Arabidopsis thaliana: one gene and its partner. The protein of the gene in region 2 interacts with the protein of the main gene of each other region in a pairwise test. Each region holds a gene or a part of one and is shown on either strand. Other genes may lie near its edges.

Region 1 (6,038 bases), on a different chromosome or scaffold from region 2:
ATAACTAAACATTTCTTCCCCTCTTATAAAATAATAAACATTCTTTTTGCCCTGATAAACTAAACATTTTTTCTGTTATATATATTCTTTTTGCGGTAAGAAACGCACACAAAAAAAGGAGAGTCAAAACACGTGTCTTTAGGTTGATTGCTATTAGATTATCAAAAAACATTTATAGGTTGATTGCTAATCAAGTAATCAAAAATTGTTGCTTTGTTGGTTCTCCATGCACCATTCAATTGATTATTATTTGATAAATATCGTTTACTTTTCACACAATAACTTGATTAGGTGCCCATAAGTAGTCGACGAAATCTTGTTTAGATGTGCCGATATATACCGACAATATAGAAAATAAAATCGTCGATATTCAAAAACTAAATAAGTCAAATGATTTGATCAAAATGAATAAAATCTCTTCTTTTGGTACCGAACTTAACATGTGGTTGGTGTTGTACAAAGTAACAAACAATCGACACATAAAGCAGCTATCTACCACATTGATGTAAAGTTTGCAATTGGCACGGTTTGACTCAGAATGAGTCCAACATTATTTCGGTCTGATAACTCTGATTATATCTGTAACTTTCATTTGTTTGGAATAGTGATAATCATTTTGTTGCTCTATAAATAATGATTTTTCAAAAAGTTAAAAAATAACGATTTAAGTTTACTAGAAATAACCAAGAAATGGTCAGAAAAAAATTGTTTTGTATAACAAAATATCGGAAAGAAAACTGTAAATTTGTTGGATTATGCTTTCGTAACCCAATTATTTTTATGGATATAAAAATCATTTATTGAATGAGCCTATGAACATCAAAATGAAAAATTTCAACCCAACCAAAAAACGAAAATGATAAGACTTTTGAAAAAAGAAGGTATAACCAAAACAAAATTAGTCAAAAGGCTGATCCAAGAATCAGTTTTTCACTAAGCTTCAACAAGAATAGATTTCGGGATCCCAAAATCAGTATTTTATTGGTGATTGACCATTTTTTCATATGGAAGTGTTAACTTTGATGAAATCTCGTAAATTGATTAGAACCACAAATTTGAGTCCTGCGTAAATTGATAAGAACCACAAATCCAAATTACATCAAAAACTCGTTTTATAGTAAAGAAATCTTACAGGGTAACAACTACTACAAACTCAATAATATAATAAACAACACACTTTATTTAAATAAAAAATAAATACTCTTTTAAACTATTTTTTTTTGTCAACAGCTTTAAATTAAACTCAAAAGAGCCATTGTAGCTGCCATTTAAATTCTATAATGACTCAAAAGAAAATACATGAAAAATCAATATATACCATCGACTAATCACAACCTAGTTTAGTAACACAAGTTTTTAGACCTAAGGGTAAGAGTATATATCGTATACATATATACAAATTTTTAACTTGCAAGAAATCAAGTCACATGATCACATGAAGACTTATCAACAAACAGAGGTTAGGATTTTCGGAGATGAGAATTATTACAAACGAATCAATCAAAATGCAAAGTTGATTTTTCTATTAATCAACAAGGTTCACTTGTGTTCAAGCCAAATTTTAAACAAGCCAACTAAATTTGAGACGAGATTTTCAAATGATTTATACCAATCATATCATTGGACAATGACCGTAAATTCCGAAACTCTTGATGATCTGCTACCCCCTAAATCAAAAGAGAAAACTGATGATTCCAAGGATGAAAAGAAGCCTGCAAAATCTTTCTCATTGAGCAAAGACCAAAAATGGGTGTAACTTTCATATTTCAGGATTTGATAGAACATAATTTGTTGTCATTTTCAGGTATGAAGAATAGGTTAGTATCAGTTCAGGTTTTTAAACATTTTTAGACAAGTGAAAAGATAGTGTGTTTATTACCTTGAGAGTGTATGTATTCATGACCAAGGCCAGTTCGCATCTCGCCACGCAAAGCGACATCCTCCAAAACTACTACTACAACCATCTCCTTTTAACCCATCAAATTTGTTGGTTTTATCAGAATCAGACCCATCTAACCCGGGGCAACGAAGTTCTTGATCGCGTTTCGCTGCTTCCTCCCTGTATGATGGGTTCGAGTATCTCGGGTGTTGAATGAAAGGTACACTCTTCCACCAGAGTTGAAGTGCCTAAACAACGAAATGACGTTAAGTTGATCAACGTTTTGAGTATTTGTACTTAAAACGATTTTTGAGTAAATATAAGTCACTTACATGCCAATAGATCCATATCGCAACCTTATGAGGCATCAACCAGAAGAAAACAGCGGGATCAGACACCCGCGATAGGGGTATCCTTTTCGCCTTTAATGTCGCAGAGAAATAGTTACCGAAATGAGGATGTTGAGATGCAATGGAGACAGATAAATCATCTCCAGGTTCATTAGCTCTGATTTTCCAATTCCCAAGCATATCCTAAAAGGTTATTTAACCTCTAATCAATCACACAAAACTGATAAAACATCAATCAAAGAAGTTAATAATATCAAAGAACAACAACATACCATGAAAGGACTGACTTGTAATGATTTAGCAACCAAGTCAGATTCAGGGTCAAATACAAATGTCACTCGTTCCCCCCACGGCGTATTTGTAACCTACAAAATTCCTCTAATCAGATCAATAGATAGAGACACTAATACCAATAAAGCCAATGCACCATAAGGTTTCATTACTATGAGAGACATAAGCAAGAAACAGAGGAACAACAAAAACCTCTGATTCATATACCTGAGCAATGCATTTACTTAAGCGCTTACTTGACCCTTCCAAGTCATAGCAATAGTATAAACTCAATGGGTTTTGTTCATATCCAACGCTTGGTGGTATTGTCAATAGAAATCTGCACCACGAAAAAATTACAGATTCATCAAAACTACTTCCTCTATCACAATTACAATTTCTGAACTGATAAAGATTCATTCACCTAACAATTTCATTACAAAAACAACCAAACTACACTGTTAGAGAGCAAAACATAACCATAAAACCAAACAGAAACTAAAAAAAACACTCAATTTTGCAAATCTAACTAACTCCTGATCAACAGAATCTTTCAAATCTTGTTTGTTCCTCAAAAACATTACGCATTATAAAGTTTCAGTTCTAGGTATCAAAATCCAGATTCTTCCGATCTTGGACGAGTCAACAAACTTACATTGGCCCGGTGGTACGAGAAACACGGCGAGCTTCGTCGGCGGAGAAATGATCCGGCGGTGTGTTAATAGCTTTGTCGAGGTCAAAGAGTGCGTAACGAACGGAATAACGGAAAGAGTGGCGGACAGGACGGAGACGGTCGTGCCAGACTGTGCCTTCGTAGAAAGAGACATTAGGATCGACGGCGGCGCGTGAAGGAAGGAGACGGTGGAGAAGGAAGCGAAACGGGAGGAGAAGAGAGAAGAAGATGGAAGTGATTGAAGTGTAGATGATTGAACAGAGGAGAAAGAGCAATTCCATATCTCTACCTCTGTCTCTCTATCTCTATCTGATCTTTTTCAAAAATCAGAGATTGACATTGATGACCCTTCAAATGCAGAGGTTTGGTATATTTATGATTTAATGCCACGTTTAACGATAAGTATTAATTTAACGAGTAATTTACTTTTATTATTTTTGAATCTAATAATGCCGTTTTAAAATGCTATAAGTTAGTATTAATTTAGAATTTGTCTCATAGAGGCCATTGTTATCTTCAGTGACAGTATATTATTGTGTTGTGTGGACCCAAAAGCCAAAAAGGATTGTTTTATTTAATGTTGCAACCAGTTATTATCATAGGGTATTTATCGTATAATCGTGGCTGTTGCGTGGACGTTACTAAACCACTGTATATAATATGTATTTGCATATGGATAAATAATTAAATCATCTCTCAAATTTATAAAAATTTGCATTATGAGAATTCACAGAACTAAAACTCGTAGAATGAAAACTGCATACTAGAAAATCAGATAATAATTTTTTTAAAAAAAAATCAGATAATAAAATAAATAACTGCATACATTTGATTGGTAAATTTTTTATAATCGCATTAAAATAATATTTTACCATATATGTGTTACAAATCAGAGTATAAAATATACAAAACAATATATTGGTAGAGACTAGAGAGACTCAATGTAAATGCTTTAGTTACGTTTATATTTCGCTTATGAAAATTTGTTCTTTGTGGAGAAAAAAAAAAGTTCTTTTTTGACGAAAATTTGCTTACTGGATAATACTGATCTATTAATTACTGGGCCAAGACACTTGAGGCCCATCAACTCCTAGATCGGTGGAAACCTCAAATCTCACAGTTAACGTAATTAGGTTGGTCCAGGTGGTTAAGCAAACCCAGTGATAATCCACAAATCATATACGTACACGTGCCAATCCAGTCGTTAAGTAACACGTGTTAAATTAACATTGGTTGTTATACAATAGAGAAGCCACATGAGTTCGATGAAAACAATGTAAACATGTGGATTTGATTGCACAACAACAATACACATAATTTAATTCGATTTCGACAATTTCATTTAATTCTTCGATTTCTCCGCTTGTCACTGTTTCGTATCGCCATTTTCTGTTTGCATACACTTGTATATATTTATATTAACAGTCCAAAATTCTTCGAAATTGTCCCGAGCTTTGAGCATATAAAAAATGTCTTCGATAATCCATGGAGCTGGAGCTGCTACGACGACGTTATCGACGTTTAATTCCGTCGATTCCAAGAAACTCTTCGTTGCTCCTTCTCGCACAAATCTTTCAGGTTCGAATTTTATTTGATGATCGATCTGCATTCTCTGATTTCGATTTCTGGTGTTTTGGAGCTTCTATTGAGATGGATTTGTGAGATCTTAAAGCAGTTTCGTTGTTTGATTTTGATGCAGTGAGGAGCCAGAGATATATAGTGGCTGGATCTGATGCGAGTAAGAAGAGCTTTGGTTCTGGACTTAGAGTTCGTCACTCTCAGAAATTGATTCCAAATGCTGTTGCGGTAATGTCTTTGTCTCCGATTTTGTGATTTTTATGGTTTCTCCTTCTAATCTCTAATGATGTACGTTTTTGTTTTGTAGACGAAGGAGGCGGATACGTCTGCGAGCACTGGGTTTGTTTTGCACCTTTTTAGCTTTGCAAATTCGATTTTGATTTTACTCTTTTGTGCTCATTGAAGGATTTAGACACTGCTTGAACAAATCTCTAATTGGATCTTTCATGTTCTGTTCTAAATGATTAGATTGTTTCAGTAGTTTTATTACATTTTAGTGGGGATTCAAAGTTGGATAACGATGAGGAAGTTTTTAACTATGTGCTATTGGGTGTGGTGATGTAGGATCCTAGCCAGTTCTAGAGTAGTCAAAACACTAATCTATAGTTGATAGTGATGGCAAAAGCTTAATGTGTTGCATGTCTGCTTCCAGTAATCATTCTAGTGATGCCTTTGGTTGTGCTTATGATGCCAAATGTTTAGGTTAAACCGTTAAACCATTTAGTTCATTCCCATGAACATAGTTTAACTCTCAAGAACATTTCTGGACATCATACGGCAATTGGTTAGGCTTCTGTTACATATTATGCGACTTTCCATTTAGTGAATGTTTCTGTTAGGGGTTTGTGTGTTGTCTTCATTTTCACATAAGCAATCCATGATGATGTCACCATGGCATTTTCTTTCATGTATTAGTCGTCACAAATAGCACATTTTCTTTATCTACCTTTAAACTTCCATGCTCATATTCAATATAAGTGTCATGATGATGCCTTTTTTTTGTCAAAAATACAAAGTGTGACCAATCTTCTCGTATGAATTTACAGACATGAACTATTGCTTTTCGAGGCTCTTCAGGAAGGTCTGGAAGAAGAGATGGACAGAGATCCACATGTATGTGTTATGGGTGAAGATGTTGGCCATTACGGAGGTTCCTACAAGGTAACCAAAGGCCTTGCTGATAAATTTGGTGACCTCAGGGTTCTCGACACTCCTATTTGTGAAAATGCATTCACCGGTATGGGCATTGGAGCTGCCATGACTGGTCTAAGACCCGTTATTGAAGGTA
Region 2 (8,476 bases):
GTTATGTAAAACGACTATGAGTTGAAATCAAAGTTAGTGAGCATCTCCAACGGTTTGCATAATTCTTAGAGACAATGAAGCCAAGTAAATAACCAAAAGCCCTATGCCCATCACACCACCAAGCCTCATACGGTTACTAAACAGAACCAAGAACGACCATACCAGTCCTGCGACCAGAAATCCAAGACTCTCCAACAAACGAGGATCTGTCTTAATCACAATGCTCAACGGATAAGCCTCCCATGCACATCCCACAAGCGATATCCCGAGAGCAAACAATGTATTGAAGATCGGACCGGCGTAACATCCCGATACAGCCACTTGAGCTCCTTCGTTCCCATCGTGTAGCGCCATTGTCAAGTTGGTTATTAGATCTCCAATTGAATTACCCCAAGCGAGGACCGTTAAGCCTAAGATCGAAGGGCTTACACCGAAAATGTATCCTAGTGAGGTCAAAAGCGCAACTAGCTCTTGTGCTGATATGTAACTCCATGTCATGCTCATTACAAACCCTCCTGCTAACCAAGGCAACAACCATTTCTTTGGTGGGGTTAATTTCTTCGTCGTGGCTCCTGCAATGAAACCAAGAGCTATACCGATCAAACACCCGATGAGATAAACAACCCCCGCCTCAAAACTCGTCGGTTTCCGCTTCCAGTTCCATAAAAACGACAACAGAACCGGGGCAAATGTGACCGAGGCAACAGCTAATGGTTTAGACCATTTGTCTTCACTCACTACAGGAATTGTTAATATCCTTGGCAAGTTGAGAGGCAGAGTGATAGCCCAAATGACCAATCTTTTCCAGTAATAATATCTCTGGTGATCATCATCATCATCAACAATCTGATGCTCTCCATTAACAACACCATCTTCAATTTCCTCAAGACCGTCTCTCTGCAAGATTGGTTCACTAAGACTACCACGCTTATGGATTGACTCAAGATCAGATTCAGCACCTTGATCTCCACCAAATCTCCAAGAGAGAACCACAAAGGCAACATAAACAGCATACAATGAACAAAACCCAAGAGCACCCCAGAAATTGATCTTTCCATAGACCAAAATCAAAGCCAAAGAACCAATAGCAGCACAGAAGAAGCAAATGTCTCTTATAAACGCAGCTCTCTCAATCCTCACACGTCTCTTATGCAACGAAATGCTAATGATCCCAACAACAACACAGGTAACAAAACCAGAACCTCCCACAACAGTGTTGAGACCAACATCATAAGTACCTTTAGATTCTCCCATGAAAGAGACCAAACTTGCAAACAAATCAGGAGCACCATTACCAAGCGACAAAAGAGTAACACCAGCAACAGTTGGTGACAAATTAAGCAGCTTTGAGAGACTTTCAAGAGATGAACAAAAGTACTCAGAGGCCGTATGACCCAATAGATAGAACAAGAGAAGCAACCAGAGGAAGAGAAGAAACTGACCCAAAATTGGGAAACCTTCGAAATTACAGTAGAGAAAAGAGAGGTAATCGAAGAAACCTTGACTAGCACATGGATCAATCGATTTCAGGTAAGCACACTTTGATTTGTAGTCATGAAAGTGCTTCAGGGCACTACAATCATGCTCTGATTTAGGTCTTAGAGCACTTGAATCAACAGGATTCGTGAAGAAACCCAACAGAAGACAAGAGATAACGAGAAGGAATGTGACTGTCAAGTAACCAAAACGGTTTGAAGAAAATGAAAATCCCATCAATCAGCTAAGACCTGGAAACTCAACAAAAAACGAAAAGAAACAAATCAGAACAGAGCAAACGAAGAAACAGATAAAGTTTGGTTTTTTATCAGAGAGTCAAATTGAAAAAGAAGATATTTGGGTTTATTGTTGAGAATCTATAAATGGGTTTACTCCATAAGAACAGATCATGAAGAAAACAGATTAGATAAACACGAACTATACGCGGAAAGAGAAAGATAAAGCACTGACCTTTTTTAATATCTGGAAGATGAAAAAGCAAAAAAGGGATCGAATTTCGAAACGAAGCTTTTAAAGGAGACGAAGCGAAGAAAACACCCACAAACACACAAAACAAACACTTTAACAAGACCTGACGAAGACAAACGTCAGAGACAAAAAAAAACAGAGGATTGAGGAATACTATTTTTTTATATAAAGAATCTGAAAAAAGTTTGTCACTTTGTCATTGCCGTTTTGGGGTTAGGGTGATTTGGGTTTTGGAAATGGCTTATGTGTCGGCTTCACGATGAACTGTGCGTCATTTTCTCTTTCCATTACGTATGCGAAGAATAGGAAGACGAAGGAGGGAGGGTTAGCGAAAGGATACATAAATTTAGAAGCTTTTTCCACAAATTAAATATTACTATAAGGAGCTGACCCAGCAATATTTAGTATTTAGTGCTGATTCCTTAAGCCACTAACTATGGAAAAAATAATATAAATATTCCGGTTTGGTTCGTAATCAGTTACCGGTTTAAGGTTAACTTACATATAAGAAACTAATTTAAAGGATGTGGTCAGTACTGAATTGATGTTTGTTTATTCCAACAAGTAAAACTCTAATCTATAACAGTCATTTTAATCTAATTTTATTAGTTGTGAAATAGTTATTGGTAATTGAGTATAAACCACAACCACCGCCTTTATTCTGTTACTTCCAGTTTACACAAGGCAGAATAACTTGAAATGTAATTAAGAGAAAATTAATTCAATAATTTGGCTTTCTATTAGCTCAAAATTACTTCCTTTATATAAGCTGAAACATCTTAATTCGAACGTATTTTAAGAAATAAGTATACATGGATATTGAATTTCCAAATAGATTGAGACAGCCACGATCATAAAGAGAAAGTTCCCAAAAAGAAAAGACAGAAAGAAACAAGTAGAAGAAGCTAATATAAAAGGAAAGTATAGTGTGACAAGATAAAGTTAATAATGAGGAAACTAATAGTATACTCCACACAGTCACACAAAGATAATTGTATAATGAGGTCGACTGAATAAAGAAAAGAAAAAAAAGTGTGGTCGACTTTTACTACTAAAACGAGAAAGTCGGTCGAAGGATTAGGATTTAGGACACGATTTTTGTAAAAATATTTAGGGAATTTTTCAAATAAAATCGAACAAAATATAAAGATAAGAGGACTTATTACGAGTGTGAATTGCAAATATTAAAAAAGTACCGAGTCATTTAGAGCAACGCGGTCTTCAAACGCGTTTTGTTTTTCTTTACTTTTGTTTACATCTTTGCATTTATTTTGTGATGTTATTCATTGCTTGAGAGCTAAGTGAGTAGAAGCGATCCATTAACACAAGAATCAGCACGTACGTGTACGTCCCCTTCGACGGTGATATTTGTTTTTACCTTTTCTAGTTGATATAAAAATCTTCGTTTACTCATGGAGATCAGATACTATCTAACATCAAACCAACAAATCCTTTAATCTATATATTGTTAGCTATCATTTAAACTTATGCCTTAACATATAAAGTTGTAGACTAGTGTCTGATTGTTTTTTTAAAAACACTCTTTTTAATTGGAGCTGAAATATCTTAAAAGTGAACACTTTTAGCCGACGTCCACCTTTAGACAAGAGGCTGACTCCAAAAAGATGTCCCAAAAATAATTGATGATGGGCATTCATTATGATAAAGTTGGCCCATAATCTTTTTTATGGATCCATTTGTCCAATTCAAATTTATTGATTACTGTCACGTCCCATCCTTTTTGATGTTTATGGGCTCGGTTTAGATACCCGGATATCTTACCGGTATAGTCCGGTTATGGGACCTCAACGAAAACTGAGACATATGAACGGCGATCCCTCCAAAGTTATCACCTACCTTCTCCAATCTCTTTTCGATTTCGAATTTTCCATCTTTCGATTCTCAGTAGTTTCGTCTCAATTTCATAATTCCATTGTAGCCGATAATGAATTCCGCTTTAGATTTTGCTTTTCCGGCTACATTTCCGGTTAAATCGAGTTCTGTTGGCGGACATCGGATTGCTTCCCCTGGATTCAGTTCCCGCTTAAGATTGTGCTCTCTTCCTCCTTCTTCATCTATCAAGGTTAAATCTCTTTTTCCACTTTCTCCCTCTGCTTCGATTTATATCATTTTCAGCTGGATTTTTGTTTAGAATCGTATCAGTGTCTTGTTATTCAAATTTCTGCATCTGAAATTAAGTCACTTGTTGGAATTTTAAAGCTAGTTTTCCAATGGAAATCTGAATCATACAAATCCACTTGTCCTGACTTGTTTAATGTTGATGATGATTGTGACTTGTGAGTACTAGCAATAGTGAGTATCAGTATACAACATTTATATGTTGCTTCCAAAACTCCGAATCCTGTGAAGTTGTATTGTTGCTTAAGTTGTGGCAAAATAGAAACTTTTCTGCAAAAGTTGAGTTATTTTCCCCATTCCAGTGTACTTTCATAGACTTGTCTCATGATGATGATGATGATTATGATCTGTTAGCGTTAGTAACTATAATTAGTGACAGATATATGTTTATGCTATGACTTCAAATGTTGAGTATGATTGCACAACTCAGAACTTGTTTTCCATGTTTGGATTTTCCGGGAAACATCTATACATTAGGGTGACTGAGAAAGTGAAAAAAAAAAAAAGTGAAGCTTATTTCTCCTGGTTTGGATGAAACATTATTTGCTAAGTTGAGAATAATCTTTGGATTCTTAGGCTGAGTCATGTTTAAAAAGAGACGTGCACAGGCAAAGAAGCAGTCTTGAGTCAATGTTCTGTTATGATAAACCAATACCAGAGGAAATAATCGAGGAGCCAGTTGGATTATCCATGTCAGAGAGAGAGATTGGTGATAATCAGCGTTGCACTTGTTGTGAAGCTAAAGGTGCATTGCTTTGTTCCACTTGTTCTGGAACTGGTCTATATGTAGATTCCATTATGGAGAGTCAAGGCATCATTGTTAAAGTCCGTTGCTTAGGTAAGCCTCTCTTATCCTACATGCTCTACTTGTTCTATGCAAATTACCTTCATCTTAACCATTTGTTGCTACTGTTTTAGGTTGTGGTGGAAGTGGTAATATTATGTGCAAACTTTGTGGTGGGCGTGGTCACGTAGGACACTGATGACTCCGTGTTTCACTTGTTTGCACTCATGGTTCTGTTTTACCTATTCGCCACTTTTTCTAGCTCTGATCTTATTGTAAAAGCCTACTTTTTTGAGTTCCATACATAGATTTGTGTTCTTGTACTGATGTAATCTCTAGCTAAACTATGCACAATCTTGTCCCAGACTATTCATTTTCTGTTGTTATATAAAATGGTTTCCTAAGTGGCTGTGACTAAACCATGATTCTCTATCTCTTTTACTGCTCTCTTTTAACTATTTTATGCAATCAGATACATAAAACGGATCAAAGAGCAAGAAAATAAAGCAGGGAAAGGAATCAGAACTGAATCATTCTCATCTCACTTTGTATGTACATTTTCTTCTCTAGCTGCATTTTTTGCATATAAAGCTAAATGATCTACAATCTATAGAGTCTATAAGCTTGAAAAAGCCTCAGTGTTGTGAAAAAACGAAAAGAAACGAAAGTATTTTTCTCAACTAAGTGGATACCATCCGTATGTGAGCTCTCTACACGTGTGTTGGAACGTCATCATCTTCCTGCACTCTATTATCCTCGACTTCTCTTTTTGCCTTTTCGATTTTTTGTCGCTCGATACGTTGTGGAATCGTGTCATCAAACCTATCGTTCTGTGGATCTTCAGAATAAGCTACATAGTAACCCATCACACAAGCTTGTAGCCACGCAGAAGAAACTCTCCCCTGAAAACATACCAACAAAAACAGGTACATAAGGTTACACAGTACAACCATTTTTGATTCTCTTCCTGCATTTTGATAAGAAGATCTTACCACAAAGTATCCGATGATGAAAGCATAGATAGTCAGCTCAAAGTAGTGATCCTTATCGATCAGAAGCTCCCATACTCCTGCAGTTAATGCAGCGATTGCACCAATTCCCATGGCGCTAAAGAAACAGATGGAGCTGGTGATGTCAAAATCAATCAACTGCTCAAATTCAGGGATTGTTCTAAACCTCCTCCAGGTATCACTAGACGCTTGCCTTAACCCTTTGTTGTGAGCTCCCACGTGAACAAATCCATATCTATTTCCACCCAAAATGATATGATTGGCAATCCAGTTGCAGCCTGGGGTACTTGCATAAATGTCCCGATTACAACACCGAATCGTTCCCCTAAAGAGTACAATAAGTGGAACAAGTGTTGAACCAATACAAACACTCCCGAGCTGCTTTTTCAGAGTGACGCCAAGAGCATCACATGCATTCATGAGATCATCACGGCTAAAGTATACATATATGGCTTTCGAAATCGCGACTTCTTGTACGTTTTTGATAACCTGCATTGTCCAGGCAAGGTTTATCACGATGATGGAGATGAAAAGAATATCAAGACGTGTTCCTGTAGCAGTAGCTCCACCGATTCCAGCAACCAAGAAATCAGAGTAAAAGACGCTTATGATCACTGATACAACTGCTATTGCTCTGGTTCTTGCGGGTAATATCCCTGTGGCGGTTGACATCGTCTGGAAGGTGAATTCATGCCTGTTCGTGACGTGAAGCGAACCATACACTGCGGTGACGATGCTATAGAAGACAAGAAGTGCACCTATCCATAGAACGACGGGATTGGATTTGTCGAGGAGAATTAGGAAGAGCCCCACGGAGATTGTGAATAACGGTGTGAACCAGAACGTTGCTTTGACTGTGGCTCGTATGTTGCAGACGAAGAAGCAGTTCCAGGCTATAGAGAGGACTCCGGAGACAGCAACAGAGGATAACAGAGGAGTGTACCATTTCTTGGGATGGAAGTTTGGTGATTTGGTGCAGACGAGACCTCGTAGCGTGAGAAGGATCACAAAGATCGAGATTAGGGTTAGTTGCGTGTAGAAGATACAAGTGAAGAGGCATCTGAAGAATCTTCCGGATAGTGTTTGCTGTTGCGGTTGCTGTTGCTGTTGCTGTGCGGCGGGAGGAGTTACTGGTTGTTGTTCGATTTCCTGCAAAAAAGCAAAAAGATAAGATGAAGAATGTGGAGACACGACGCTAATGCCGATCGGGGAAGAAGAAGAAGAAGAAGAAGTAGAGTAAGAACCATTGAGAAAGACGAAGGTGGGTCACGCACGTCACGGTTGAGGAAGACGAAGGTGAGTCACGGTTTTCTTGCGGCGGAAACGGTGACGAAAAGTCAAAGAGTCGAAGAGAGCGAGAGATGAAGGAGAAGAACCGAGAGAGTTAAAGTGAAGACAGAGAAAGAAAGAGACGAAGAAAGAGAGAATGAATTTATATAGACAGAGGCAAGGGAAAAGGAGAGAGATCTTTTTGGTCTTGGTTCTTGAAATCTTCACGTGATAAGCAAAAGGCCGTTGTTTGTTGTTATGGGTAGTTCTTAAAAGTCTCTATAATTTCGATTTGAAATTGATTTAAGTCTCTATCGCTCTCTCTCTTTCCCCAGTGTTTCCTCGTATTACGTTTCTTGGTACACAAGTTTCACATCCTACATCATTTCGTTGTGATATTTGTATTTTTGGCGTCATGTATTATTATTATATTATATACAACTTTCCAAATCAAAATCATGTATTAATCTGAAATTGATTAATCTGTGTAACTTCGTTCCATTAATGTATTTTTTTTTTTTTGACTCGTTACTACATTAACATAACAATTTGTAGTCATGTGTGCATGTATGTTATTAATTTTTTGTCCAAGTTCATGTATGCATGTAATTAGTGTTGTACATATGTAGACGAAGATAATTAAGGCTCTAAATGGATATAGCTTTCAAATTAATGCTCAAGGTCAGGCTCTAAATGCAAGTGATGCAACATTCACGATTGGTTTTCTCTGCAGTGAAAGAGAGAATGGCATTACAATAAACAGTCAAGTTTTATTTCTGTATTATTTAAGTTTTTCCATTGCTAAATTTAGATGAAAATGGCACTATAGTAAATATAAAATTTTAACAAGGGTTAATTGTCTTCATTATACATGTGTGAACGTTATTCAAGTTTTCTCACTTTAGGAGGTGTTTAGTTTCGTAGTTAGATTAAATAATTATCTTTAATCTTTTATCTCAGTATTTCATTAGGAGATATTGTCCACATGAGTTCCTCTTCTTTCCTAATAAAACTAACCCCTCTTCTTTTTGATAGATAAAATCTTTTTTGTTTTTTTAATGCAAAGAGATTACATGAAAGGTCACAGAAAATGCAAAATAAATTTGAGAGATAAGCATAAGCATACAAGTTGCTAGCTTTTAAAAACATCAAAAGCTCAAGAAACTAGGGAGGAGCTAAAGAAGAAATAGCCTCCATATATACTCACTAGAGATCCTTAATTGAATGGTCCACGATTGCCTCAGCCTCCAGGCCCTCCACGACCATGGTTTCTGCGTCCACCGACATGAGTATATTACATCTCTTGAAC

What was found. The genes of interacting proteins can lie anywhere in the genome.
Region 1: the proteins of AT5G17840 (region 2) and PDH-E1 BETA interact in a two-hybrid assay, tested with the Arabidopsis thaliana proteins (one large-scale study listed by BioGRID).

The regions. Positions count from the first base shown.
Region 1 is NC_003070.9:10,585,081-10,591,118, reverse strand, and holds the start of PDH-E1 BETA (pyruvate dehydrogenase E1 beta), read left to right. Parts: upstream 1-4,438; 5' UTR 4,439-4,641; coding exon 4,642-4,750; intron 4,751-4,871; coding exon 4,872-4,978; intron 4,979-5,057; coding exon 5,058-5,089; intron 5,090-5,796; coding exon 5,797-6,038. Other genes in the region: AT1G30130 (DUF1365 family protein), read right to left, coding at 1,897-2,127, 2,212-2,412, 2,502-2,594, 2,728-2,839, 3,155-3,453. UniProt on the Arabidopsis thaliana protein: The pyruvate dehydrogenase complex catalyzes the overall conversion of pyruvate to acetyl-CoA and CO(2).
Region 2 is NC_003076.8:5,892,490-5,900,965, reverse strand, and holds AT5G17840 (DnaJ/Hsp40 cysteine-rich domain superfamily protein), read left to right. Parts: upstream 1-3,674; 5' UTR 3,675-3,910; coding exon 3,911-4,048; intron 4,049-4,680; coding exon 4,681-4,942; intron 4,943-5,022; coding exon 5,023-5,087; 3' UTR 5,088-5,313; downstream 5,314-8,476. Other genes in the region: AT5G17850 (Sodium/calcium exchanger family protein), read right to left, coding at 34-1,713; AT5G17847 (uncharacterized protein), read right to left, coding at 2,179-2,307; AT5G17830 (Plasma-membrane choline transporter family protein), read right to left, coding at 5,599-5,790, 5,881-7,047, 7,519-7,584.